Caenorhabditis elegans: one gene and its partners. The protein of the gene in region 2 purifies or fractionates together with the protein of the main gene of each other region. This does not show direct contact. Each region holds a gene or a part of one and is shown on either strand. Other genes may lie near its edges. The genes, in order: slt-1, eva-1, madd-4 and unc-40.

Evidence for each region.
Region 1: the proteins of eva-1 (region 2) and slt-1 purify together in Caenorhabditis elegans (affinity purification with western blotting; 2 studies listed by BioGRID, with this or other methods). This does not show direct contact.
Region 3: the proteins of eva-1 (region 2) and madd-4 purify together in Caenorhabditis elegans (affinity purification with western blotting, with the first as the bait; one study listed by BioGRID). This does not show direct contact.
Region 4: the proteins of eva-1 (region 2) and unc-40 purify together in Caenorhabditis elegans (affinity purification with western blotting, with the first as the bait; one study listed by BioGRID). This does not show direct contact.

The regions. Positions count from the first base shown.
Region 1 is NC_003284.9:14,672,537-14,677,901, forward strand, and holds the start of slt-1 (Slit homolog 1 protein), read left to right. Parts: upstream 1-1,791; 5' UTR 1,792-1,838; coding exon 1,839-1,984; intron 1,985-2,027; coding exon 2,028-2,099; intron 2,100-2,546; coding exon 2,547-2,618; intron 2,619-2,661; coding exon 2,662-2,733; intron 2,734-2,785; coding exon 2,786-2,884; intron 2,885-2,933; coding exon 2,934-3,041; intron 3,042-3,109; coding exon 3,110-3,254; intron 3,255-3,309; coding exon 3,310-3,470; intron 3,471-3,941; coding exon 3,942-4,013; intron 4,014-4,065; coding exon 4,066-4,137; intron 4,138-4,187; coding exon 4,188-4,567; intron 4,568-5,132; coding exon 5,133-5,229; intron 5,230-5,278; coding exon 5,279-5,365. UniProt on the Caenorhabditis elegans protein: Functions as a ligand for sax-3 receptor during larval development. Acts via the sax-3/Robo receptor to direct ventral axon guidance and guidance at the midline during embryonic development.
Region 2 is NC_003279.8:14,829,107-14,837,011, forward strand, and holds eva-1 (SUEL-type lectin domain-containing protein), read right to left. Parts: upstream 5,716-7,905; coding exon 5,592-5,715; intron 3,762-5,591; coding exon 3,735-3,761; exon of another isoform or gene 3,027-3,734; coding exon 2,924-3,026; intron 2,876-2,923; coding exon 2,743-2,875; intron 2,698-2,742; coding exon 2,418-2,697; intron 2,283-2,417; exon of another isoform or gene 2,165-2,282; intron 1,902-2,164; coding exon 1,776-1,901; intron 1,731-1,775; coding exon 1,663-1,730; intron 1,464-1,662; coding exon 1,334-1,463; intron 1,285-1,333; coding exon 1,159-1,284; intron 1,115-1,158; coding exon 938-1,114; intron 888-937; coding exon 769-887; downstream 1-768. UniProt on the Caenorhabditis elegans protein: Acts as a receptor for slt-1. Required for the guidance of the AVM pioneer axon to the ventral nerve cord.
Region 3 is NC_003279.8:8,938,662-8,944,112, reverse strand, and holds the start of madd-4 (Protein madd-4), read left to right. Parts: upstream 1-1,825; 5' UTR 1,826-1,908; coding exon 1,909-2,022; intron 2,023-2,064; coding exon 2,065-2,226; intron 2,227-2,762; coding exon 2,763-2,879; intron 2,880-2,925; coding exon 2,926-3,037; intron 3,038-3,087; coding exon 3,088-3,289; intron 3,290-3,545; coding exon 3,546-3,551; intron 3,552-3,835; coding exon 3,836-3,974; intron 3,975-4,444; coding exon 4,445-4,644; intron 4,645-5,451. UniProt on the Caenorhabditis elegans protein: Component of an extracellular matrix cue that is involved in the guidance of dorsoventral midline migrations and in the specification of postsynaptic domains at neuromuscular junctions (NMJs).
Region 4 is NC_003279.8:5,688,282-5,693,913, forward strand, and holds the start of unc-40 (Netrin receptor unc-40), read right to left. Parts: upstream 3,223-5,632; 5' UTR 3,160-3,222; coding exon 3,141-3,159; intron 2,941-3,140; coding exon 2,857-2,940; intron 1,320-2,856; coding exon 1,139-1,319; intron 1-1,138. Other genes in the region: npp-7 (RanBP2-type domain-containing protein), read left to right, coding at 3,985-4,180, 4,255-4,415, 4,509-5,114, 5,323-5,632.

The DNA of each region.
Region 1 (5,365 bases), on a different chromosome or scaffold from region 2:
TATTCATTATTCTTATACCTTTGCACAATTTTTTTTCTAACCACAACACTCTGAACTGACAATTTTTCTTTTACAATTTTTTTCTCGCAATAGTAACAAAAGCTCTTTTCAACAAACGTGTAATATGAGACAATTTATATAGGAAAAATGAAGCAGCGCGCCCTTATTTTTTGTTCTCCCAAATGTGTTCTGTTACTTTGATGAGTGGTTGTTGTTTTTCTTAAAATGGCACTACTGAGAAAAAATACCTTAACATTTATTTAGGTAGGAACCGTAAATTTAATATTTCCATTAATTTTTATTAAAAATGAAGAGTAATTCATAATGTTAGGTTAGGTATTTAAAGGTGATGTAGTGCCAGTGGGGAAGTTGTTAAAAACCATTCCTATGGTCCCAAAACGACCAAATATTATAATAAAAATGTTCAAATTGTTTTTTTTTGAATTTTTTTATTTACTGTCATAAAATGACAATAAACAGTTTTTGCCACTCATAATTTTGGAAGTCGACCAAAAAAAAATTTTTTTTCTACATTTTTTATATAATAATTTTGTTTTAATTATTCGCATTAAAACATTGTAGGGATCTGAACATGCGGCATTGCTTTGGATTTCCTCAAAAGTTCATATTTTTGGAGCACGGCCATGCACTACATGTACCTTTCTTTATATGTGGAGTACCGAAATCTGAGACTTTGTTATGGCCGCTCAACGTTTTTGAAAAAAAGTGTCTATTTTCAGCTAAAATCTCAACTTTTATCAACTTTTCGGTGTCACAGCGGCTGGAACTTAATTTTTATTTGTTGATCATTTTTTAGTGTAGGTCTTCGCAATTAATTACCTTAATTATGTCAATTGGGATGGTTTTTCGGTCAATGCGGGCACAAATATGATACAATTTTGTGCCCGCATCGACCGAAAAAGCATCCCAATAAACGAACTAAAAAGTTGCCAAAATTTGAGATTTTAGCTGAAAAATATACCATTTTTTTTCAACACTTTAAGCGGCCATAACTTTCTTTTGAAAAACATTCTGAACATCTCATTACGAAATTTGGTAGTTTCGGAGTCTTTTGGTCTAAAAAAGCAAAGTCTCAAATTTCGGTACTCCACCTTTAAAACAATTTTGAATCCCCCAATATCGCTTGTGTTTCTCTCGCTAATTATCCAAACAACGAGATTAATAAAGTATTAAGACGACTAACCAATGTGTGAACCCTCGCACATTTTCCCTTCCTCATCTACTTTATCATTCCCGATGAATATTAAATAAGTGCACATGGTAATAGTTAGTATACACACCCATCAGTATAGCTATCTCATCCATCCAATTGTTTTGCTCCGAGACACGAGAACAGAATCTCTTTATCATCATTGTGTTCAATGTCACCCGCCTACCCCATTTCATTCTCATTCTCATCCGGCACACACACACACACACACACACAAGTCTACAACTCTTCTTTTATCTGTCATTTGTGTTGGTTTAAGTGGTGTGTGGAAGATGCACGAAAGTGGGACTTGTCTTCTATCCCAATGTCTCATTATCACACTAAAACATTCGCTCTTTCTAGTTTTCTGCTGCTTCTCTTTTTCTACCCTTCCCGGAAAGTTTTCGTGTCCGTACCCACCCCTATCCCAACTCTTTTTTCCCTCACAACCACCGCCATTCCACACATAAATCGTGTCTCCACGAGGTTGTGTTAATGGACCGGCAGGATGGGAGGACAAGACAAACATCTCATAAAACATTAGTGGACCACCCGCCACTTGTCTAAACTTCATTTTGCAGAACTGAACTACTAATTTCATTGTCCCCAAGGATTTGTGGATGTCGGAATGCTGATTTGCTTCATATTTATTCTACTTATACCTGAAAGTGCCACGTGTCCGGCAGAATGCGTGTGCGTGGACCGAACTGTGTCGTGTGTTGGCCAACAACTCACAGAAGTTCCACAAAATATCCCGAATGATACAATTAGATTGTTAGTTTGCCATGGTTGAAAAAATTATAAATGTTGTTTACAGAGATCTACAAGACAATGAAATAACCAAAATCGGACCGAACGATTTCAGCAGTCTTATGAATTTAAAAGCTTTGTAAGTTTCACTTGGTGTCAGAGTGTCCCTTTTTGGTTTGATCTACGTAGGTCTAGTTGGGAGTTGATACGCAGGGTTCTCAACAGATTTCGCATGGTTAAGAACGTTCTGACGTCACTTTTTGTGGGCCAAAATTTCCAGCATTTTTTGTAGATCAAACCGTGATAGGACAGCCTAAAACCACTCGAATTTTAAAGTTGAACCATTTGAACACTTGAGATAATATCCCTAAGATCAGATCTTGTTTGGGAAAACTGAAAAAAACTCAACTAACGTCTAGTATAACATCATGGCTTCAAATTAATTTTTTTGGCGCAATTTCAATAGAGCAATTTTTGCGATATTTTTGTCGGTTCATATTTGCAACAAGAACACAGCCCTTCACTTTGAAGTACAGTAAATAAAACAAAACAACCCGTTTTTTTTCAATTAAATATTAAATTTCAGACAACTTATGGACAATCAAATTGTCACTATTCACAATCAAAGTTTTAGTTCTCTGGTATTTCTTCAAAAGCTGTAAGTTTCGTAGTCTTGAAAACCAATAAACTCTAGTTTTCAGGCGATTAAGCAGAAATCGTATACGCCATTTACCAGATAACGTGTTTCAGAACAATCTGAAACTTACTCACTTGTACGTTTATTCTTCAAAAAAAAATCAAATTAGTTATTATTTTCATTTTCAGAGACTTGAGTGAAAATGACATAACAGTGGTTTCTGACGCACAACTACAAGGTCCTGAATTTTTGGAAGTCTTGAACTTGGATAAAAATCATATCTTCTGGTAAGTTTTTTTCAATCCGGCTATTCTATTTTCCTTTCTCTTCTTTTAGTCTTGAGAACAATGTGATTTCTTCTTGGGTGTCTCTAGAAGTACTTACACTGAATGGAAACCGATTAACAACATTTGAAGAGCCCTCAAATGCAAGATTCCGACAATTGTAAGTTGCTTGTTTTTGTTTTCAAAAAAGAGCATACCATAGAATGTTTAAAGAAGTTTGCTTTTAAGGGACCTTTTCAATAATCCTTGGAATTGCGATTGCCGTTTGAGATGGATGCGAAAATGGCTAGAAAAAGCAGAGGGGCAGAATAAAACAGTTTGTGCAACTCCACTCAACTTGCAAGGGTCCTCGATAGAAATTCTCCAAGACAAGGTAAATTTTAACTTTGAAGGAAAAAAACGTTGTTAAATATTTTCCAAATTTTCAGTTTATGACGTGTTCCGGAAACCGAAAACGTAGATATAAGAAAACCTGCGAAACTGCGGAAATTTGTCCACTACCATGCACGTGCACTGGAACGACTGTAGATTGTCGGGATTCCGGGTTGACATACGTACCAACAAACCTTCCACCGTCTACCACAGAAATGTAAGTTCTTGTAAATTTTTTTCAAATGAATTGAATAGGTTAACTTATACATGAAATAGGGAAATTTTTGGTTTTATTTTGTGAAGCCTCCCGTGATTTTTGTTTTAAAGTGTTGAAAGTATCAGAGATGTGTGACGCTTTTTTTTTTGAAAATTTACAAAATTCATATTGCTCAAAAATTCCAATTTAAAGTACTTTTTCTAAAGAAAATAGCTTTACGTTTAATTAAAAATTTCGAAAAGTTGCTGTTAATCTGGTTAGAAGTTGCAGAATCTCTTAAAGTTTTTGAGCGTCGTTCTTAAAACTTAAAACTACATCAAGACAACGTATTTCTAGGAAGTTAACAATATTATCTATTTAATTGTCTTAGAAAAAAAAACATTGACTCAACAACAAAAAGAGAACCTGTAAACTTTCCAAGAGTGCCAAGAAGTGTCAAAAAATGTTCTGAAAATTTTTCTTTTGTTTCAGAAGACTCGAACAAAATCAGATTTCATCAATTCCCTCTCACTCCTTCAAAAATCTGAAGAACTTGACACGACTGTAAGTTTATTTTCATCTAGCGTCTTCAGTTTTTGCATCTTTCTGATTTCAGAGATCTGAGCAAAAATATAATCACTGAAATCCAACCGAAAGCGTTTCTCGGTCTTCACAATCTGCACACATTGTGAGTTCATTGGTGTCACTTTTGTTCGAACTCATCAAATTGTATTCCAGAGTGCTCTACGGGAATAATATAACCGACTTGAAATCGGATACTTTCGAGGGACTTGGAAGTTTACAATTATTACTCCTCAATGCCAATCAATTGACGTGCATTCGGAGGGGAACATTTGACCATGTCCCGAAGTTGAGCATGTTGTCATTATATGATAACGATATCAAGTCAATCAGTGAAGTAACATTTCAAAATCTTACCAGCTTGAGTACACTGCATCTTGCCAAGAATCCACTGATTTGTGATTGCAATTTGCAATGGCTGGCGCAAATAAATTTACAGAAGAATATTGAAACAAGTGGAGCAAGATGTGAACAACCCAAACGGCTGAGAAAAAAGAAATTTGCAACTTTACCGCCAAATAAGTTCAAATGCAAAGGTGAGATCAAAAGCAGGAGCGTTGCTTCCTGAAAAAGTTAAACAGAATCTGCGCAATTAGATAAGACAAATGAAATAAACCCGTAGAATACCGCTAATCTACACAGTTTGCCACAAAGCTTTGAACAAGGCTTTTATGCAGGCGCGAAAACACCTTCCTTGCCTCCTGTATAACTCTGCGCGAAACCCGAAAACTGTCGGCCGCTTTGAAAGAACCGCCTTTCGCCATATGTGGTGCAAACACCAAGCCTTTGACGTGAGGTTTGCAGGTTGGAGGCAGGCGTCAGGCTCTGAAACCGCTCATGCTTCCTATGAAAGCCCAAAGTTTGACCAAAGTTTCGCACCCAGTTTTTGAGCATATTGCATTTACTGCACATGTAGCCAATCTGAAATTTCAACGTAGCTCCTACGTTGAAAAAAAGTTTTTAACTGACTACAAATTTTCCCAAAAGTTGAGATGTTGCGGAATCTCTAGTAAACCAGCAAACAGTCCTACCACCGGAAAATACTTCAAATTATTTCCTTGAATTTCGGAAACAATGAATCCAATATAACTCAATTTCCAGGTTCCGAGTCATTTGTCAGCATGTACGCCGACTCTTGTTTTATCGACTCAATTTGTCCGACTCAATGTGATTGCTATGGTACAACTGTTGATTGCAAGTAAGTACCTAAATATACAAAAATTGACATTTACTCGCTCGAATTTCAGCAAGCGTGGACTTAACACTATTCCAACTTCAATTCCCCGCTTTGCAACACAACTCCTCTTATCTGGAAACAATATCTCTACCGTCGA
Region 2 (7,905 bases):
TATCGTTTTACCCCTGCTCACCACGTTGCTTGCTATTGAACTGCGAAAAACTGAGAGAAATCGAATATCATCACGTGTTTCCACAAGAAACAAGTCGAGTTTTTCTGATTCATCCTGTATGTTCTCTAAAAGAAAGTTTCAGCTCGGAAAGAACGACGGTTCTAGTTATCATTGTGACTCTTTTGATATTCATAGCTTCACTGCCAACTGGCACCGCAACAGTTTTCTCATTCATCTACCCTGATCTGGGATTTTTGTGAGTGTTAAGACTATGTCTACCGAAAAACTACATGGTTTTTTGTTTCAGCTTCCTACCTATGAATCTTGACGCGGCATTACATTCTGTTCTGGCTCTGAATGGGTCTATAAATTGTTTTATTTTCTATGCAATGTCTATACAATACCGAACAACTGTAAAGCATATTTGGATAAAAGTCAATGTTGAAGGTAGAGTAGCAACTATCAGCAATGGATTGCATCGTCTTTAATTGATTCGAATATATCCTCGTCGGCAATGCCAGATATTTTAAGCAAGATACTGCCTTGCGATGCACCATGTTAAAATGAAGTGTTTTATTATTCTCAGTTGACGTGTAAATTCGCCCTGAATTTGCTAAAATGTGTCTATCAACTGAATCATTATTTGTGACTTTAAAATGTTTTACTGAAACAATTTTTATATCGAAAGCAATGATTTCCAACAATTAGAAGTGACTAGATGAACCCGTAGAAGTAAGACAAGAGTTATGGATGTGAGAGGAATTAGATTTAAAAATCATAGTGACTATAATGTGGATTGGATGTTGCTGCGGAACCCATCGAAAATCGGAGGAACTGCTCGTCTTCAATGTCTTGCATCATGTGCTGTGGAGTGATTGAGCCACCATCTAGAGGTATAGCGAAATTGCAATATATGTAAAGGTTGTAAAGTACTTACAATTACTTGACACCAATTTGCTAGTCTCCAGTGACCTTCTACTTCTGCTTCTCCTTGAGCTCCTCGAACTATCCTTGTTTGAGGAACACAGTCGAGTGATGATACACGCGGAGAGCACAACAATTGCAGCCATACTCACGGCTAACACAATACACATGACCGCCTTCTCTTTGTTTTCTGAAATCTAGGATGATTTTCTGAGAATTATTTGAAACTCATACCTTTAAAGAACTGAACAACTTGAAGAAGATCGTGCCCAACACCCACTAGGTTTGGTTCCACTCTTTCCGTTATTGGAGGAGGATCTTGCTTTTCCATTCGATACTCGTCATGGGTTACATAGGAAGCTACAAATTGAAAGTTATATAATATCAGTTTAGTGAAAAAAAGCGATACCATCGTTAGCAATTTGATGTACATCGGGATCCTTAGCCGGCTCACTATCCACCACTCTTTCCCACTGTGTCTTATCATTGACATCCTTGAAAAATCGTTCGTCATCCTGTTTTTGCATTGCGTCGGCTTCCTGAAAATTATTTTGAGAAACAGTTTTCAAAAACAGCGTGCCCTCTATTAATATGGCACTTCTGTTAGTTTTGCCCATCTAACAGAGTTGCGCCATCTTTTTTAAAAAAAGTATTGTATGATTTAATGATAGAGGAAATACTATTACTGAAGCGTATGCTGTTAAATTTTAATCGAAAATGTTAATTAACCGGACGGACCTTCAAATAAGTTTCCAATGAGGTCAGCTCGCCTTTGATGGCCTCCTCTGAGAATATCTCCTCGTTAACTGAAAATATTCTACATTATCCTTAAACTTGATCTGTTTTATTACCACAAACATAAACGACATGAAGATGCCCATGTCTGCAATGACCTTTTATGCCATCACTTTTTAGTGTGCACCCTTCCTTGGCGTGGCATTGACGAAGTACTTGAGGTAAGACGTCTGAGACGCATTCTGAAATTTTTTTGATTAAATAGTAAACGATAATTCTATTTTTCCTTCCACACTATAGTTTTTCAAAAAATTCGATACAATGAGAGTCTTGACATCTTTCCCATTTTCCGTCAATTCGTACCAAACGGAAATCCTACTTTAGTATTCACCCTTCTCGTGTGTTCCTCCTCCACCACCATCCCATTTCATTTTGAACCCAAAGCCCCGGATCTTCAGAAGACAATTGTCAGAGTGTTTTCTGGCTACGTCTCTTGCTAACCAGTACTATCTTACTTTTAGCTCATCGGGAGGCTCAATGGAATGGATAGAAGAAGAAGATGAGGCTAATTGGATGTGTGTCATCAACTCACAATGGGAAGAATGAGAACAATTGCGAAACAGTGAAAGTATCAGAAAAGAGGAAATAGAGAAAAGGTGAAGCACCTCAAGCTCTGCATTTTATCAGAAAGCATAATTTGTTTAATTGGTCTTTGTGGTTCTGTTTGACAAAATATCTTTAAAAACTTTTCAACTTACCATGTCTAATTTCGGTTTCGGGATCACATTGAGGCGATGTCTTCATTTGTGCGGAATACACAGCCAACCGTCTACCTTCCCTACACTCTAAACGAATCTCTGGACGAGGTGGATCAGTGGGCTTTGGAGTACAAAATGTTTCCTCATCGAAAGACATTGGAATGCAACCATATGCCATCTGAAGATATTTTGAAGTTGTTGGGCACGGATCATCTTCAAATGTGTTTGAATCTACGACAACTGTACATTTTCGGCGCTTATCGCAAAGTTCCGATATTCTCTGAAACTTATGATTTCAATTGACGAGTGTTTGGCATTGATTTACCGTATGAGCTTGTATCACATCACAAGTACTTGAGTGATGGATCATTGATAATGGATCTAGATTAGCTTCGGAATGCTTTCTTCCAGCCTGTGGAGGGCATAATTGGTTTTCTGGGACCACGCGGCCATAAAACCTGAAAACTTGTTGAATGAATCTAGGATAGATTGATAATTTTACAAACCCGGTTTGTACAGAAATCTGTGTATTTCTTGGGCAGCTTAACGTGATTCGTTCTCCATCGCAAGCTTGAACTCTATTGGATCGAAGTGACTCTCTGAGGATTCCTGCAAAAATGATTGTATTTTTGATTTTAAATTCCTCCGCAAAAATTTTTTAGAAAAAAGCGGTTCGTTTTCGTTTCGGTCCCTCTCGATCACACTCGCTGGTGTGAAGGTCACCAGGTACTAAAACTGAGAGTGACTGAGTAAACGGAGTGAATTAGTCGGTGTCAGCGTGCGAAAGAAAAGAGAGGTCATAAAATGGACCCCCATAAAGTTTTTGAAAAACGTCCGATACTTTGGGCATAAGTGTGTGTGAAAGTTTTGCGAAAAATGGAATAAACTGACCATGACTCCTTGTTGAACTATGAATTGCTATTAGTTTGAACAAAGTTACCATATTAAATTATTTCAGCACTTTCAAGTTTTGCCCTAAACAGCTAGCACAGTTTCGAATCTTCGAAGATACATCTTGTGAGCAAATAATAATGTTTATCGACAATAAGCAAAGCTTCACTTTTAATTTCCAAGCAAATCATTCCACCTTATCCTTTTTCAATTCAACTAGCAATTAGTAATATCTTGAACAACAGCAGCTGGCGGCTTGCTGATTCCTCTTTTTCCTTGATTTCTCTTTAAAAAACGACACCTAGCAATTAACAGAGAGGAGAACAGGCAATATCCAATCTGGCTTCTTAAGAAATAAGAAAGCATCAGTTCCAATTATGCGCTGTGCTTAGTGAACTGGAAAAAACAGCGGCATGCGAAACCTACCCAGGCGAGCCCGAACAAGTAGAGCTGCTGAAAATTATCGGTTTTGTGGGGTTGCAAATTTTCAGATAAACTTTTGTTTTGGAATATATATATATATAAATTTTCTTGTCGAATGCCGTAGTACATGACTTATTAAATATGTGCATCTTTCATTTGCTATGATATATATCTTTTTGCGCAAAATCGACTACATTAAAATAAATTTTTAGAATAAATTATTGGCATTTAGAGTTTGTTGGGTTATTTCTAAGGCTTAGTAAGTTTAGCAAGTAACTTTTGCGGTGTCCCTCCGCATTTTCCCACGTAAATTCAGCACAAGCTAAAGTTATGCTGCTTCAAAAGGCAGGTGTGCTCTCACGCAAAGAGAGCAACCGAGGAGGCATGTTCCGGTGGCAAATGGAAATGGGCTCGTATTTCAAGTATTGGAATGGATTGGAATTGCCAAAATGTTTATGTATTTCTACGGATCTGCTGCTGCCAATCAGAACAAAATAAGGAATTTGCCAAAATTACGTTCAATAAAATCTCAAGCTATAGTTAAACATTTTCTTTTCGTAATAACGTTCATGATTTGACATTTAGTTTCATTTGTTTTTTTTTTCTATTTCTCGTTTACCGCTGAGCTCTCTGCTCTCGCGGAAGCTGTCAATTGATACATAGCCATTAGCTCCCTGGGTTCTCAGCATGACCACGTAAAAACCCTCTCCGTGTGGTGATAATGTTGCTCTGAGAGCAGCGGGCGAGCTTTTCTCTTTTTACACACTCGACACGCATGTTGTGGGGGGCTCGGAAGCTGAATGAGCACTTTTTTACGGGAGGATTTCGAAATGTTTATTATTTTTACAAGGTGGTAGTAAAATTCGATTGCAACATCCCAACTTTGAAATTCTCAATAATTCTCGAAGATGATGTCCATTTTGTTTAGAGGAAGCTGAGTGGATACTCCTCTTCATCATCATCATGTTCATGTCATGACCCACTAGATATAGAAAAGAGACATTTGTTTATAACATTGTGCACTTAACTATGCTTATTACGCCTTCTGCTGCTATGCATCCGGAAAAGAGGAAGGCAACAGACCCCCCGGGTAAGGGATAAACGGGTGAAGGGGGACACACACTCACTTTATACAATTATGGAATTACGGGGGGCCTCTCTTGGAGCTAGAGCAGTAGAACGCAAGGGCGGAAAAGGAATTGTTGCTAATGGAGATCTTCGGAAAGGAAATGGAGGTTTCGAATTTTCGACGAACTCTATTTCATTGTACTTGAATTACTCTTATTCAAGCCCCTTGTTATTAAAGGTGGAGTAGCAACAGTGTGGAAAGTGTTAAAAAACTACTACAATGGTACCAAAATAACCGAAGATCATAATAAAACTTTCCAATATTTATTTGAACATATTTTATTTACTGTCAAAAAGTGACAATTACTGTTATTTCCACTCATAATTTTGGAAGTGGACCAGAATAATTTTTTTTTCCTGCATTTTTTATACTTTGATTTTGTTTTAATTATTTGTATCAAAAAGTTGTAGGGGTGGAAACATGCGACACATTGGATTTCCTCAAAAGCTCATATTTTTCAAAATTTTAATCATTATAAGTGTATTTAGACAATACCTTTAAGAAGATGAATTCAATACTAGAAGTTAGGAAATTTCTGACCTACAAATTTCAACTCATCATGCGAGGTATAATAATAGCTACGCAATAAAAATGACGGCGCGAATAGATCATCATCTTGATGAGTGATGAATGTGTTCGTTTAGCGATAGGTTTCTACTTCAAAAAACGCCTTTCAAAAGGAAGAAGGCTGGGAAAGTATAAGTTTCAAGTAGAAAAAAAAAAAAACAAACCTTCGATTGGATTAACTTCATGATGATGTGATCCACCAATAAATCCGCTTTTCAATTTACCATCAGTTACGATAATTCCAAACCAAAATAAGAGCAAAACCGGGGAAACTATATGCATATTCATGACAATTCACATGGGAAGCTGTAAAATTATTTTTAACTCCTTGGAAAAGTTAAATAAAAGTATGACAATAACAATATGAGAACAAAAATCACATAGGTTAGCTGTCAGCCTTGACGAAAAGAAAACGGGACACTCTGAAGAAGCAGAGGGACATGCAAAAAGGGGGTGGGGTTTCCCAAGCCACGCCTCGTTGCCGAAACTGAACTGAGAGAACGATAATCATATTTGAAGGTGTCAAAAACGGTTGTCAACAACAAAAAATGGAGAAAAGGAGATCAGTTGACTACTCTCCTCCCGGAGCACCGCCTTGATGTTGCAGGTGTTGGGAAGATATTTGGGGGAGAGGCAACTGGGAGGAGGGGACAAATTGTTGTGAGTGTAGTACACACCCTATTGCTGTTGTACACAATAAAATCGAATGGAATGCACATTTCGGAGAAGATCAGCAAAAAGTTGGTTACTAGGCAAGGATAAGAATAAGGGGTGTGTGGCAAATATGCCGAAGTTGCCGAGCTCGGCAAGTTTGGAAATTTGTCGCACACATGAAAAATGTTTAATACACATTTTGTACAAAGTTAGATATAAAACCAATATACTTATTTTTTGGGGGAAAATGTCAAATTATCCTACTCACCAATTTCTTTTCTAATAATAATTACAAATTCATCAATTACAAAACTCCTCTATTGTTCTCCCTAATTTCATGTACACCTGCCCATAGTCCCGCAAATTATTAGACTTCAGCGTGAGAAACTGAAAAACCAAGTTGCTTTCGGTGCCCAGCAGTACAACAAAAGCCTAATCGCCCCAGGCGGAGCATGGGGATGAGCTAACCTTTTTCGCCCTTTAGTGGTGTACTCATCCTTTGAAATATGTAGTACAGAGATGAACATCATGACAATAGTCAATTAGTATGCAAATGAGAGTAAGTACTTGAGAATAGTGAGGAAAGTGAGGCATAATCTATGTATTGACCAGAATATATTTTAGCTAGTGTAAAAGAGTATTAAATAACTGTTAATAAGATACATGGAAATTAAATTCAGAATTTCAAATATTTTGGACTTTTTATAATGAAAATACCATTCTGCCATAATGGTTGAATAAAATTGGTTATTAGTCCTTGTTCCTTAAAACCATAGGAAATCCAAAATCATATAGTAAGCATTCGTGAAGGTAATCCGTTGCGCTCTTTGTTGTTCGATTCCCTTTTCCCTTCCCCCTCACCCATTCCATTTTCTATTCAAAAAGTGGTAATCGGATTTTCAGACACATGCCGACGATTCAGGAGAAAACGGCTTTATGAATGAAAAAGAAACGCACCGCCGCCGTGCATTTTAGTCTCTGAGCTCACAAGTGTTGGCTGCAAAGGAGACGGGAAACGGCGATGAGAATAGAAGTTTAAATGTAAAATAAAATAAAAGAAGGGAATGTGAATGACAAGTGTGCTCTTGTCAATATCAGATGTTATTCTTAAAATATAATTTTTTTTGAAAACCAAAAACAAACGCATGTATTTTAAAAAATCTGCATAAACATCCATATCAGGGGTGGGCGGCAATTGCCGTTCTGCAAATCAGCAAATTGCCGGATTGCCAATTTGCCGGAAATTTTCAATTCCGGCAAAATGCCGTTTGCCGGAAATGTTTAGAGGGATTTTTTTATAATTGGGAAACACTTAAAACTGTACCTTTTTGAAATTTTTTCCGTTTTCTTTAGATATTTTCATAGAATTCGCTTACTTTTCAAAAAAGGCGTAGGGACATTCATAGGATGCGTACAATTTTTCCCATTGAAATTGAAGTTCTGGAATTTCCGAAAAAAAATGTAGAAAACCACAATTTGCCGAAAAGTTTCGGCAAATTCGGCAAATTGGCAATTTGCAAGAAGTTTTCAATTTTTTCGGCACATTGCCGATTTGCCGTCCACCCCTGATCAATATGAGCATACCATGTATGCTAATCGTCACTAATCGTTGAATAACCTTCCATGTTTATAACACATCTGGTGTGGTTCATTGCAGCTTAATGATTTACCGCATTAGGGACATCTGTACATATAACCCTTACATACAGATGATTTAAAGATAAATGGAACATACAATAAATAAAAAATTAACTCAATAGGTGGAATGATTAAAGGTGGAGTAGCACCAGTGGGGAAAGTGTTAAAAACTACTCCAATGGACAC
Region 3 (5,451 bases), 5.9 Mb from region 2:
AGTTTAGTGAGAAATGTGTTTATGTTTTCATAAAAACCCAAAATTCAGACGTCAGAATTCAAAAACCTTCCCCTTCAAATTTTAAAAGAAAATGAGTTGTAGTCGCAGAATATGTTACCTGAAAAGAAGTAGGGGTGACTCTATTGTCTTTATTTCTTTTTTCTTTTTACAATTTTTCATTCTCACTTTTTTTTTACTTTTCAAGTTTGTTCAATAGTCTTCTGCAAAAATATTTCAGTTATAATAGTTGTGTTTTCCAAAAAATTAGTTCAATTCTTTTTTTTTGCAGTTCTTCTTTGTTTTTCCAGTCATGTCCTCATTCCATAAATCCCATTGGTCGTCGATTTCCCATTTTGAATTGCCCCTAGTTTTCCGATTTACTGCATTTTTCAAAAAAAAAGAAAAAAAAACGTTTACTATTGAATACCTATGCCTGGTTGAAAGAATGGGTTTTGTCAGACACTGGTTAACCTTTGCTCAGCTCTTTTTTTGAAGTTTGTAGTTATCGTTTTTGGAGTTTTTATTACAACCTGGTATCATGAATATTTTTTCTCTTCCATTTTCATTTTTCCTTCCCAAGTGTGCTGCCCGAGTCTATTGGAAGTCAGAATACCAACGTGTTCCTTGACACTTTTTGATTTGATTTCCACATTTTTTCCTACATTCTCCTCTTCTTTTGGCTTTTCTTCTCTCCTGAGCAACGAAGTTTAACCATTGCAATATTTGTAACTTTCATATAATAAGTAGTGGAGTTTTTGAATTGATTAAAAAGTTTTTGAATTGATTTGCATCATGGTCTAAACGAATAAAACTTCTCCAAGAGACTCCTCAAAAAGCTTTCAATAACGTAGTTGTTGTTCAAAATTAAAAAAAAATTACAAAACTTGTGTTCCATCGACTAAGATGGTACCTAAATTCCAAAAAAAAAAACGAGTAATAAATTACTAAACTGGAAAATTTGGCATATATTCCAGGTAAATTTAGCCTGTTTCTTTCAGATAATTTTGAGTACATTGAATAAATTTTGTTACTACCTCTATCCCGGCTCGCCATTCGCCTTGTTGCTTCCTATCAAAAACTTTTGTCTAGGAGTTACTCAACACGACTTATCAATGAATTGCTAATTTTAGAAATAATTACTAAAAAATGTTGGAATGGGTTGAGAAACCACATGTTCATAGGAGAGTAAATTTCTACGAATTCAAACTAATTTTGCCAAATATTTATTGTAATTTCTTGCTTTTTTTTGTTGATTGTTGGCCCACTTACTTAGTTTACGTTAATGTTTTTTTTCTCTACAGCTACTCTTTTTAATTAAATTTCTTTTTGTTTTAATCAGAGGTAAAGTGCTATAATTTGGCTCAACCAACTCACAGGTGATTCGCGGGTTTTAAAATACTTATGAAATGTAGTTCGCGCGCTTCTACAAGAGGCACCAGCGATATAGTAAAATACTTGCAAAATCGCAAATATTGTGCAAATTGCGATCACCGAGAGTCGCGATTACCAAAATACTGCTAAAATGTTAATGGTCCCGCGGCGAAATTCGCGATTTGCAAAATGCATCTAAAATATTGGAGGTCATAAGTATTTTACAAACGGCGAATCACCTGTGCTATTGTAAAGTGGAAAACTTCTATAACTATTTCTTCGAACCCTCTAATTTTCCTATCCAAAAAATAGTTGAAGCCCACATAAATCTTTTAATACATTTATCTCTATTTCATTCTTTCTCTTCTAACTGGTAATTTGAAATTCGAATATTTTCTTCAAGTTCCGGCATCTGTATATTTTCTTTTTATAAAACTTCCAAAAAAATATTTGCAGCCAAGGACAATTCAAGCGTTTGTTAATTTTTACACAAAAAAAGGAAAAAAAACAATGAAACAAAGTGTAAAATGAATGAAAATGAAGTGTTCATATACCGTAGTATTTTTACTATTTTACTTGCTTATTGCGAGTTTCCACGTGGATGCTCTTAGTTGGGCGGCATGGAGTCCTTGGAGTTCGTGTACTAAAACGGTAATCGGACAGAGAAGCTATTCAGAAAAAAAAAATTTTCAGTGTGGTGGCGGAGTTTCTCGTCAGTTACGACGTTGTTTGACATCAAAATGCTCAGGAGAATCAGTTCGATTCAAAGTTTGTGCTCAAAAAACTTGCGAGTCAAAATCTAGATTAGCTAGGGATACAATATGTGGAGGAGAGGAAATAGTCTCCAGGGGACAGGTATGTATGAACCACTTTCAAAATAATGTTTTCTTGTGAAGAAACATTTATTTAAAAAAAGTTTTTGTAGTAGTAGTCAAAAAATAATTTGGACAAATGTACCGAATAACCAAAAACGCAAAAACGTTCAGCCCTGCAGCAAGAGTGTTGTTTTTTCGATTTCTCAATTTTTTATGAATGTCGAAAAAAAAATTTCGGATTCTCAAACTATTAATTTTTTAACGGTCTAAATTTCAATAATATCCACATATCATGATACATAACATTCTAACAATTTTGTAAAAGTTGTGGTAAATTTCCAAATTTTCCAAAAATGTGGACTTCCTGAGAAATTTCGAGTTGTACTGCAGGTTTGAATCCCTAGAGTGTTTAAATATAAACAATCTTTAAAAAATGCGGAAAACTGAGTTTTCAAGTGTAGATTTAAAAAAGCCAAATAATTGTTGAAAAGTTTGAATTTTTTTTGAAAAGTTTGTGAATCATACATGAACAGTTTTCAAGCACCTATAAGTGAAAAAATAAGAACTAAAATTCAGTGCGAAGTGGTATGCCGATCACGCTTAACTGGTGCAAATTTTCTTTGGAGAGTTGATGATGGAACGCCGTGTCAGGCCGCAACAAGTAGAGCTGTCTGCAGTAAAGGGTCTTGTCAGGTTACTAAATATAATTGTTTTAATTATTATTTTCCCCAAATTTCAGATCGTTGGCTGTGACGGATTGATTAGTTCATCTTTTCGATTTGATGCCTGTGGAGTATGTGGAGGACGAGGGGATACGTGTGACAATGGAAAGTTCATTTGGAAAGTTTCCGGTAGAATTTTAAAGATTTACAACAATCACTCAAAACACTAAGATTTCCAGAAGAATACACTGCATGCGCTTCAAATTGTGATGATATAGTTGACTGGTCAGGTGCTGGACGTTCAATTGCTTCAACTAGTCAACCAATTGTTGTATGTGTAAATGCAATAACTGGAAGAGTTGTTCCTGAAAAGTTATGTGCTGATAAATTGAGACCGAAAGTTGAAGCAAGACCATGCCCAATGCTGATTTGCCCTTCAAGGTTTGAAATTTTAAATTATTTTATATTTATGCTTAAGTGCATAGTTTCGTAAATAGTTTTAAATTCTAGTTGTTGTCTGTACTTTTTGAAAAGCACAAACCTCTAAAAAACAAAAAACCGAACTCAAATTTCTGTTAACTTTTGTATTTTAATAATTTGAATTGTTTTTGAATATCCAATTTCCTTTTTCAAGAAATATTCTTTATATCGTTTCCTAAATTAGATTTGCTAATTTGATTTTAATTAATAATTTCAGATGCCGGTGAGTTTTTCCAAAAAGATCCCAAATCAGGGTGTGGTAAGCTGAAAGAGTGTGCCCCATAAGAATGACGGGGATTATTGATTTTTTATTTTTTCTCAATTTATTTTTGTTTTCTATATCACATTCACTTCTATTTGAATTTTCTCGATAAATATTTTTATCGTTTAGGAATGGCTAAGTTCAATTTTTAGATAATTTGAGACTGACATCTCTTTGCTTTATTAGACGCTGTGTGTCAATTTGAATATTTATGGATTTTGAAGTAATGAACTGAAAACTTGCAGATGGATGGCTGCAGACTGGACAGAATGTGTACCACATTGTGGTGAAGGGACAAGAAAAAGAGAGGTTTACTGTGTACAGACGGCGCATAATGTTACAGTACATGTTCCTGATACCTTCTGTGAAAATGGAACAAGACCGGTTAGTTGTTAAAAGTTTTAGCCATTGTTTCAGATGTTAAGTAGAGATCTTCTTATTAATGCTTGAGCGGAGCATTCTCAAAATGTTTTCAAAACACCAATTTTAATAATAACACCTCTTGAAATTTTCAGAAACATTTTTATGGCGGTTAAAAAATTTGTTGAAAAATTGTTTTTTTAAGAGGTCTTTTTTTGAATTTCGGCCTATAGGGTCAGTATAAAGAATACGCTACTCCAGATTTGACTTCAAGTATTTTTCCAAAAAATATATTGTTTGGGCGAAAACGTTTAAAAGCCTTGCCACTATAATTGTATATATTGTTTTTCTGTTACAGACGCAAATTTTCCAGATTTCTTAGCGTTATCATCTGCCTTTTTAAAAAACAACTTTCCTAAATTTTTTTGTTTACTTGCATGTTTCAGAAATAATTTAGAAATCTCTCTAAAACTTTCCTGAATGATAACTTTCAGGCAGCCGAAGAAAACTGTGTATCAACATCATGTGGACGATGGGAAGCCGGAAAATGGTCAAAATGTACAGCTTCGTGTGGCCAAGGAGTGCGACGACGTCACGTGGCATGTGTTGGAGGTTCAGATTGTGATGAAGGAGGACGTCCAAGACAAGAGACAACATGTTATGCTGGAATACCATGTAGTATTGCAACAAATAGGTGAGCTCCATTAAGAAGTGGAGAATTGGTAAAGGCACTTTACGCCAAATCATTAGGTAGAATGTGTGAGCGTAAAATGATGAGATTTGCAACAACTTTTTTGAAACTGAAATTGCTGGTTTTTACATTAAAAAAAAATTCAACTTCCAAAAAATGGTATTTTTCATTTAATTCTAGCCTACATAAAAGTTAACAGCTTGCCAAAATTAGTGTACGAAGCAAATTTTACAAGCTCGACAAACTCAACAAGTTTCGTTTGGTACTTGCTAAATGAAAATACTTGCTGTTATATTATTTAAAAATTGTATAGTCTAGAAAAGAATTTCAGATCTACATAATTATTTTTTAATCGAAGCTTTACTATTCATGTCTAAAAGTTCGATGTAAAACGAGTAAGTTGAGCAATCCCCCTTCTACACACAACTAACAGTTTCTTCAATATACACATTTTGTCCATTTGTACTCTTTTTCGGAATTTCTCATCAATCACATTCCTACTAAACTTCTTCCTTTTTGTCTTCCATTACAAATTCAGTGTATTAAAGAACTCTTTCTTTGTAGAGATGACTCCATTTTCGTAGTTGTACTTGTACTTGATTCCAAGAGTGAGAAAGATTTGAAAAAAGGGATGAAAATAGGGAAGAGTAAGAAAAATTACTACTCGTCTTAACTTTAAGCTGTAAAAGGATGAGCGGAGTGGAATAGAGGGGGTAAAAAATGGTCGAATAGCAGGGATTATTGAAGTTACCCATGGGAGTTTATGTGAGAATGTTGCCAGTTTTTTGGATGAGAAAGAACTACGACAGG
Region 4 (5,632 bases), 9.1 Mb from region 2:
AAGGCGAAAATAGTATCTGGTTACACAATATATAGATACTTTGTAAGCTTAAACCAACAACTTTAATATTAACAGAATCTTAAAGTGGTAATTTCAAAGCAAGGAAATTGAAAAATTGGAACATATAGTTAATTGTGTGAACTTTTTTGATTCCAATGTGTTGATTCTGTTCTGATTGTACTTTCGGTTTTAAGCTTAATAACTTTCGGTCTATTTCCGGCAAATTTCATAACATTTCAGTGGCCATTGGAAACTAAAACAACTACAAGTTATGAAATATGCAGAAAAACAATTTCTTGCACAACAAAAGCTTCTCAACAATAGACTCCAATCCTCTCGGTCAAAAGTGTCCTTCCTATGCACATATGCATGAATAAGCCAGGACGAAATTTTATATGTGCATAGAAAGACACATGTAAAAGTCACTACTTCCACTCGCTTGCATGCTCTTGAAGGGATTAGGAATAGAAGAAGGAGAAGAAACAAGTGTATATACACACATTCCGATAGAACGGAGATACACCATCTAAATGAGTTATATGTCTCAATGTCATTTGCATATTTTCGAAACTTTGACGAGAATCCACAAAGGAGTCCTTGTGAAGAATGTGAGCATCCGATTTTATTGGTGAAATAAGTTAAGAGTGTTCAAACAACCATATACTTGGAAAGAAGGTTAAAGATTACAAGATAGCACAATTGATATCTTTTTTTTAACGAAAAAGTCAGCTTCAACCCAATTTAAAAGTGTGAGCTTTTTCTACCGAGGTTAAAAGTGCAGTAGGGATATTGTTTAAAACTGATTTTATACTCAAAATGTCCAAATATCGTAACAAAAATTTCAAAATATTTTGACATGTTTTTTGAAATCATAATTTTGGAAGTCGATCAAAAAAATGTTTTTTCTCTACTAGTTTCATATTTTAATTATGTTTCAATTTTTCGTATGTAAAAATTCTAGGAGTTCGCCTATAACAATTACCTAAAAGTCCACATTTTTGCAAAATTTGCCAAACGAATGACGGTGAATATTGAAAAATCTAATTTTTTTTAAAAACTATTATAAGTGTATTGACACTGAACATCAATTTAAATCGAAAAAATTTTAAACCGAACAAATAGTTGTAAAAAAACTCACATTCTAGAAGATGTCCGTTCACTGAGCAACACACCATCACGTTTCCATTCAATTCGGACATCGTGTACAAGTCTCTCATGAGCCAGAACATAACTACATTCTAATAAATGAGACGATGATTCCATAACAGTCACATTCCGTCGTGGTTCCATTACGAATTGAAAGCCAAGATTCCGAGCATCTGAAAATAAGGTTTTATAAAGGATTTCCTTCAGAAAGTCATTCGTATTGTTTTTTTTATCGAGAATCTTATGACCATTTATATTCCGAGAAAGGTTTACGAAACGTATACTATTATAATAATAACCATTCATTTTTCTTCCTCAGTCATTATTCCATACGTTCTCACATGCTCGATAAATTCTTTTGTGATACATGCGGCATCGTAGAACCTTTATTTTATGAATTCACGGAAAAAAATGCAGTTAAAAACCGAAAAAGTCCTTATCAATTGGGGAATACTGTAAAATGCCACTTATCGCGTCTAATTTTTTTGTTGATATTTTTCTGTACCTTACTAGTTAAACTAAATTATCCTTATTTTTTTCCAGAATTAAAACATATTTTCACAACTGATTTATTATTTTGTAGCTTTCTCAGTCTTCAACCTTGACCATTCCGAAATAACAATAAACCCAAAGCGTCCTTCTTTCTCTTCCGCCGCTCAAAAATTGGAGCCAATTAGTTCACATTTTCGTAAATGTTTAGAAACAGAACTTTGCTACTCATCAATAAGAAATCATCATCATTTAAATGATGAATGAATGTATTCCCGGAGCATTATGCAATCAAGGGAACACCATCAACTGAAGACCCGTGTCCCTCATATTGCCTCATCCATCAATTGAAATCGAAAGGGGATGGAAGAGAAAGATTTGTGTGGTGGAAGCTAAAGAAGATGATGGCATTTCGTTTTGTGTGTGTGTGTTTGTGTCACAATTCATTCCAAGAGTAAGAAGAAAAGAGAGAGAGAAGACTTCATGTGGAACCATTGGGACCCACACACACAATAATGAAATGAACGAATCTGGTGGATTTTGTGTAGAGATTACAATCTTTCGAACATCAAACGCCTAGAGAATCTGGGGAATTGAGCTATCCACTTTTGGTTTGTAGTGAAAAATGCTACAATTTGGCGTCAAGTTTTCTTTAAAGGTGGTACCCACCGTGGGGTAGTGAAATAAGGCCCCGAGTGACGGAATGAGGCTTCTCAAAAGCGGAGTCAAAATTAACTAAAATTTTAATTTTTCCCTAAACCGCCATAATTTAGAAAACGTTCAAGATGTCTCTCTTCTGGGGACAAAAAAATCGCTGCTCCATCTTTAAGGTGTGAAGGAACTAAAAGATTGCTGAACAACTCTGCTAGATCGGAACTCGAAAATTGAGAATAATTTTGAAAGAAGGTTTTTTCAAAGTAAAACCATTAATTCGACGATAAACTAAGTGTTTTATAGGTAAGAGTATTAAAAAAAACGTAACTTTTCTTGGATTTGTATTATTTTTATGGAGTCAATTTTTTTTAAAAATAGCCACAAGGTAGTTCAGTGCCAAGTATTGACTTTAAGATGATTTTTATTTATATTTTTCTATTTTCAAAATTCCATTCTTGAATCGATAAATTATGTTGCCGGTGACTGACACCTTGACAGAATGCCAGATGGTCATCTTCCTTCCCCCATTTTAATATATTTTTGAATTCAAATGTGAAAAACTCTCACCATTATCAATCGATCGACGATGATGTTTCCGTGTTGTGGCATGAGTAGATGACAGATAAACTGTCAGAATTATAAGAATGAAACCTGAAAATTATAAATAGTAATGAAGTTTTATTTAATTTCCTTTTGTTTTCTTTCAGAGGTTCGGGTTTAGATACTTCGTTTACTACGAAATTATAGGATTTTAATTTTATTTGTATCAACACAAAAGTGATAACAACAATATTTAAAACTTTTCCACGGAGAAATTATTAAAATTGATAAGATAAAAAGATGGAACTCACCGAAATGTCGCAAAATCATTTCTACTGAATGAATTAAATAACTTCTGTCGAATTATCGCATTCTATTGGTGATGCAGAGGGTCTGAAATAAATAATGTTTTTATTTACCTTTGGATTTTTTGAACACATTTTTTGAACACAGAAAAAAAGATGGAAAAGAGGTCGTTAAAAATAATTTTGAATAGAAAATAAATATATTTAACGGAAAAAGAGTCAAAAACAGGGTCGAACGTCGTCAAAAGAGCTCCAGAAGTGTCCAGCTGAAGGGGTGTGGCCTTGTGGAATGGACACTCTCTCGTTTCTCTGCACCCTCTTCATGTTGTTAATGGAAGGATAACTGTCTGCACTCTAACCTCTCAAATGTCGTTGAAAGCGTCGCGTATGCGTCGCGTGTGCGCACTCGAAAATTTCTTTTTAATCGTCTTCGCGCCATTTGCGATTTTAAATTCCTTTATTGATTTTTAATGTAATTTACACTTCTTTCCTTCGAAAATTCAATGTTGGTAAAAGGTTTTTTGCCTTAAAAATATATCAAGTTTAATGCTTAATGCTGCGTTTACTGGCGCGGCCTAAATTTAAACATTTACGATTTTGAATGATTTCTGTAGTTTTGACCTGTGTTATCGATCAATAATTCGGAATTTTTACCAAAACATATTAGGTGCATTTGTCATGTTCTTTTGGTACTTCCAGTAGTTCATTTAGGCGTTTCAAAAGTATTTCGAAAAGTGTCGTTTTTGAAGAATTTTATTTTATCGAGAATTTCTGACACGGCGCAGAAAAATTTCTTCAGTCTCTCTCAGCTTTAGTCTCAATTACGAAACAACTTTTTTCTATTTCAGAAATGTCCGATAAATCCGGAGGGTTTTTCTCATCGGTTGGCCGCTTCTTTTCTGTTGGAGCTAGTGCCACTAAAAGCAAAGACGGCGATAAGTCGAATGATGAAGGTACATCCAATTCGTCTTCAAAATCGTCTCCTTCTGCGTCTCCAGCATTGAAAAATATATTATCCGTAGATAATGAAGCTAAAATAGCTTCAGGTAAGTTTAATCACATTGACTTTCATATCAGTACATGGCACTAGAATTTCAACTCATTATTTTTTAAATTCCAGATGAAACTTCAGTGAATACCTCACAAAACCATCGCATCGGATCACGTCTTCGATACCTCAGTCCGACTGCATTGGATCGGCGTACGAGTGCATCCAATGGCTTAGAGATCGATGTGGACGCTGTTCCAGATATTTTCTTCAGCACTCCTGCGGTTTCCACGGTAAATTTTTAAAGTTGTCTTTTTATTAATGTGTTTTCACAGAAAAATTAGATTAAACCTGTTGATAAATGCTATCGAAATATTTTTTTCCAGAATCGCAAACGTCAACTGACAGAGCTCGACAAGCAGATTCTACCACAATCGTTTCGAAGTGAGAGTGTGAAACGAAGTCGATTCCTGAACAGATCATTACTGGAACCAACTCTTAATAGTTCAATGAATAATGAGAGGAAAATGGATATGACTTGGTGTGGAGAGTTAACTGCTAATCATTCTCCTGCTTCATCTATCACAAATTTCTCACTTTTGAGCCGACGAAGTGGAGCAACTACCAACGGGTCATTAAGTACAAGAACTCAAGAAATTTTCAAAAAGCTTGAAGGTGCAAATACACCCGCGAAAGAAGTTCAGAGAATGTCAATGCTTCGAGCTGGCATTGCTCGACCAGAAAAATGGGGATCGTTTAGCGAGAGCAAGGTTCCAAATGGTTCAGCAACTGGCACACCACCACCTCCATTGAAAAAAGCTGGAGACGCAATTCCATCTCGTATACAGCTCATATCAAAGACTATGGGAATGTCCGCTCGACGTGCTCCTTATTGGACGGATTTAACTAGGAAAAGAACATCGTCGAAAAATGGAGACACTGGATCTTCTGATTCAATGAAATCATTGAACGGAAACTTTGCGACTGCAGAGGTAACCTGGATTTTAAACACTTGAAAAAAAATGATACAAGAATTATGAAAAAGTTTTTCTGGTCAAATTTTCTAAAATTAGACACGAGATTATCACAGTCTAGTATTTATTTTTAAACGTTTCATTGGGAAATTTTCAGAAATTATAACAAACTTAAAATTATGATAATTAAATTATTCGACTTTATCTTAACTTTTTTAAATTTCAGCTGAGCTCCTTGTTTTCACTGGACTTACCAGCTCCAAAGAAGACAGCATCAACTGCATCCACGACCACCATAAACTCGTCAAATAGTCGAAAACAACATGCCTCAATTATGAAGGGACCTGATGGGAAACCAGTTAGTAGAAATACGTTCAAACTCTCTGATGACATTGAAGAAGTTGATGAGGATTCACAGAAACTTCCACCAATTCCAACAACAACTCTGCAGAATCCACAACCTCTGAAATTGGCGCCAGAATATGCACCCAAGCGCGGGTTTTTGGACGATCTCGCGTTCTCATTCACAGCTCCAG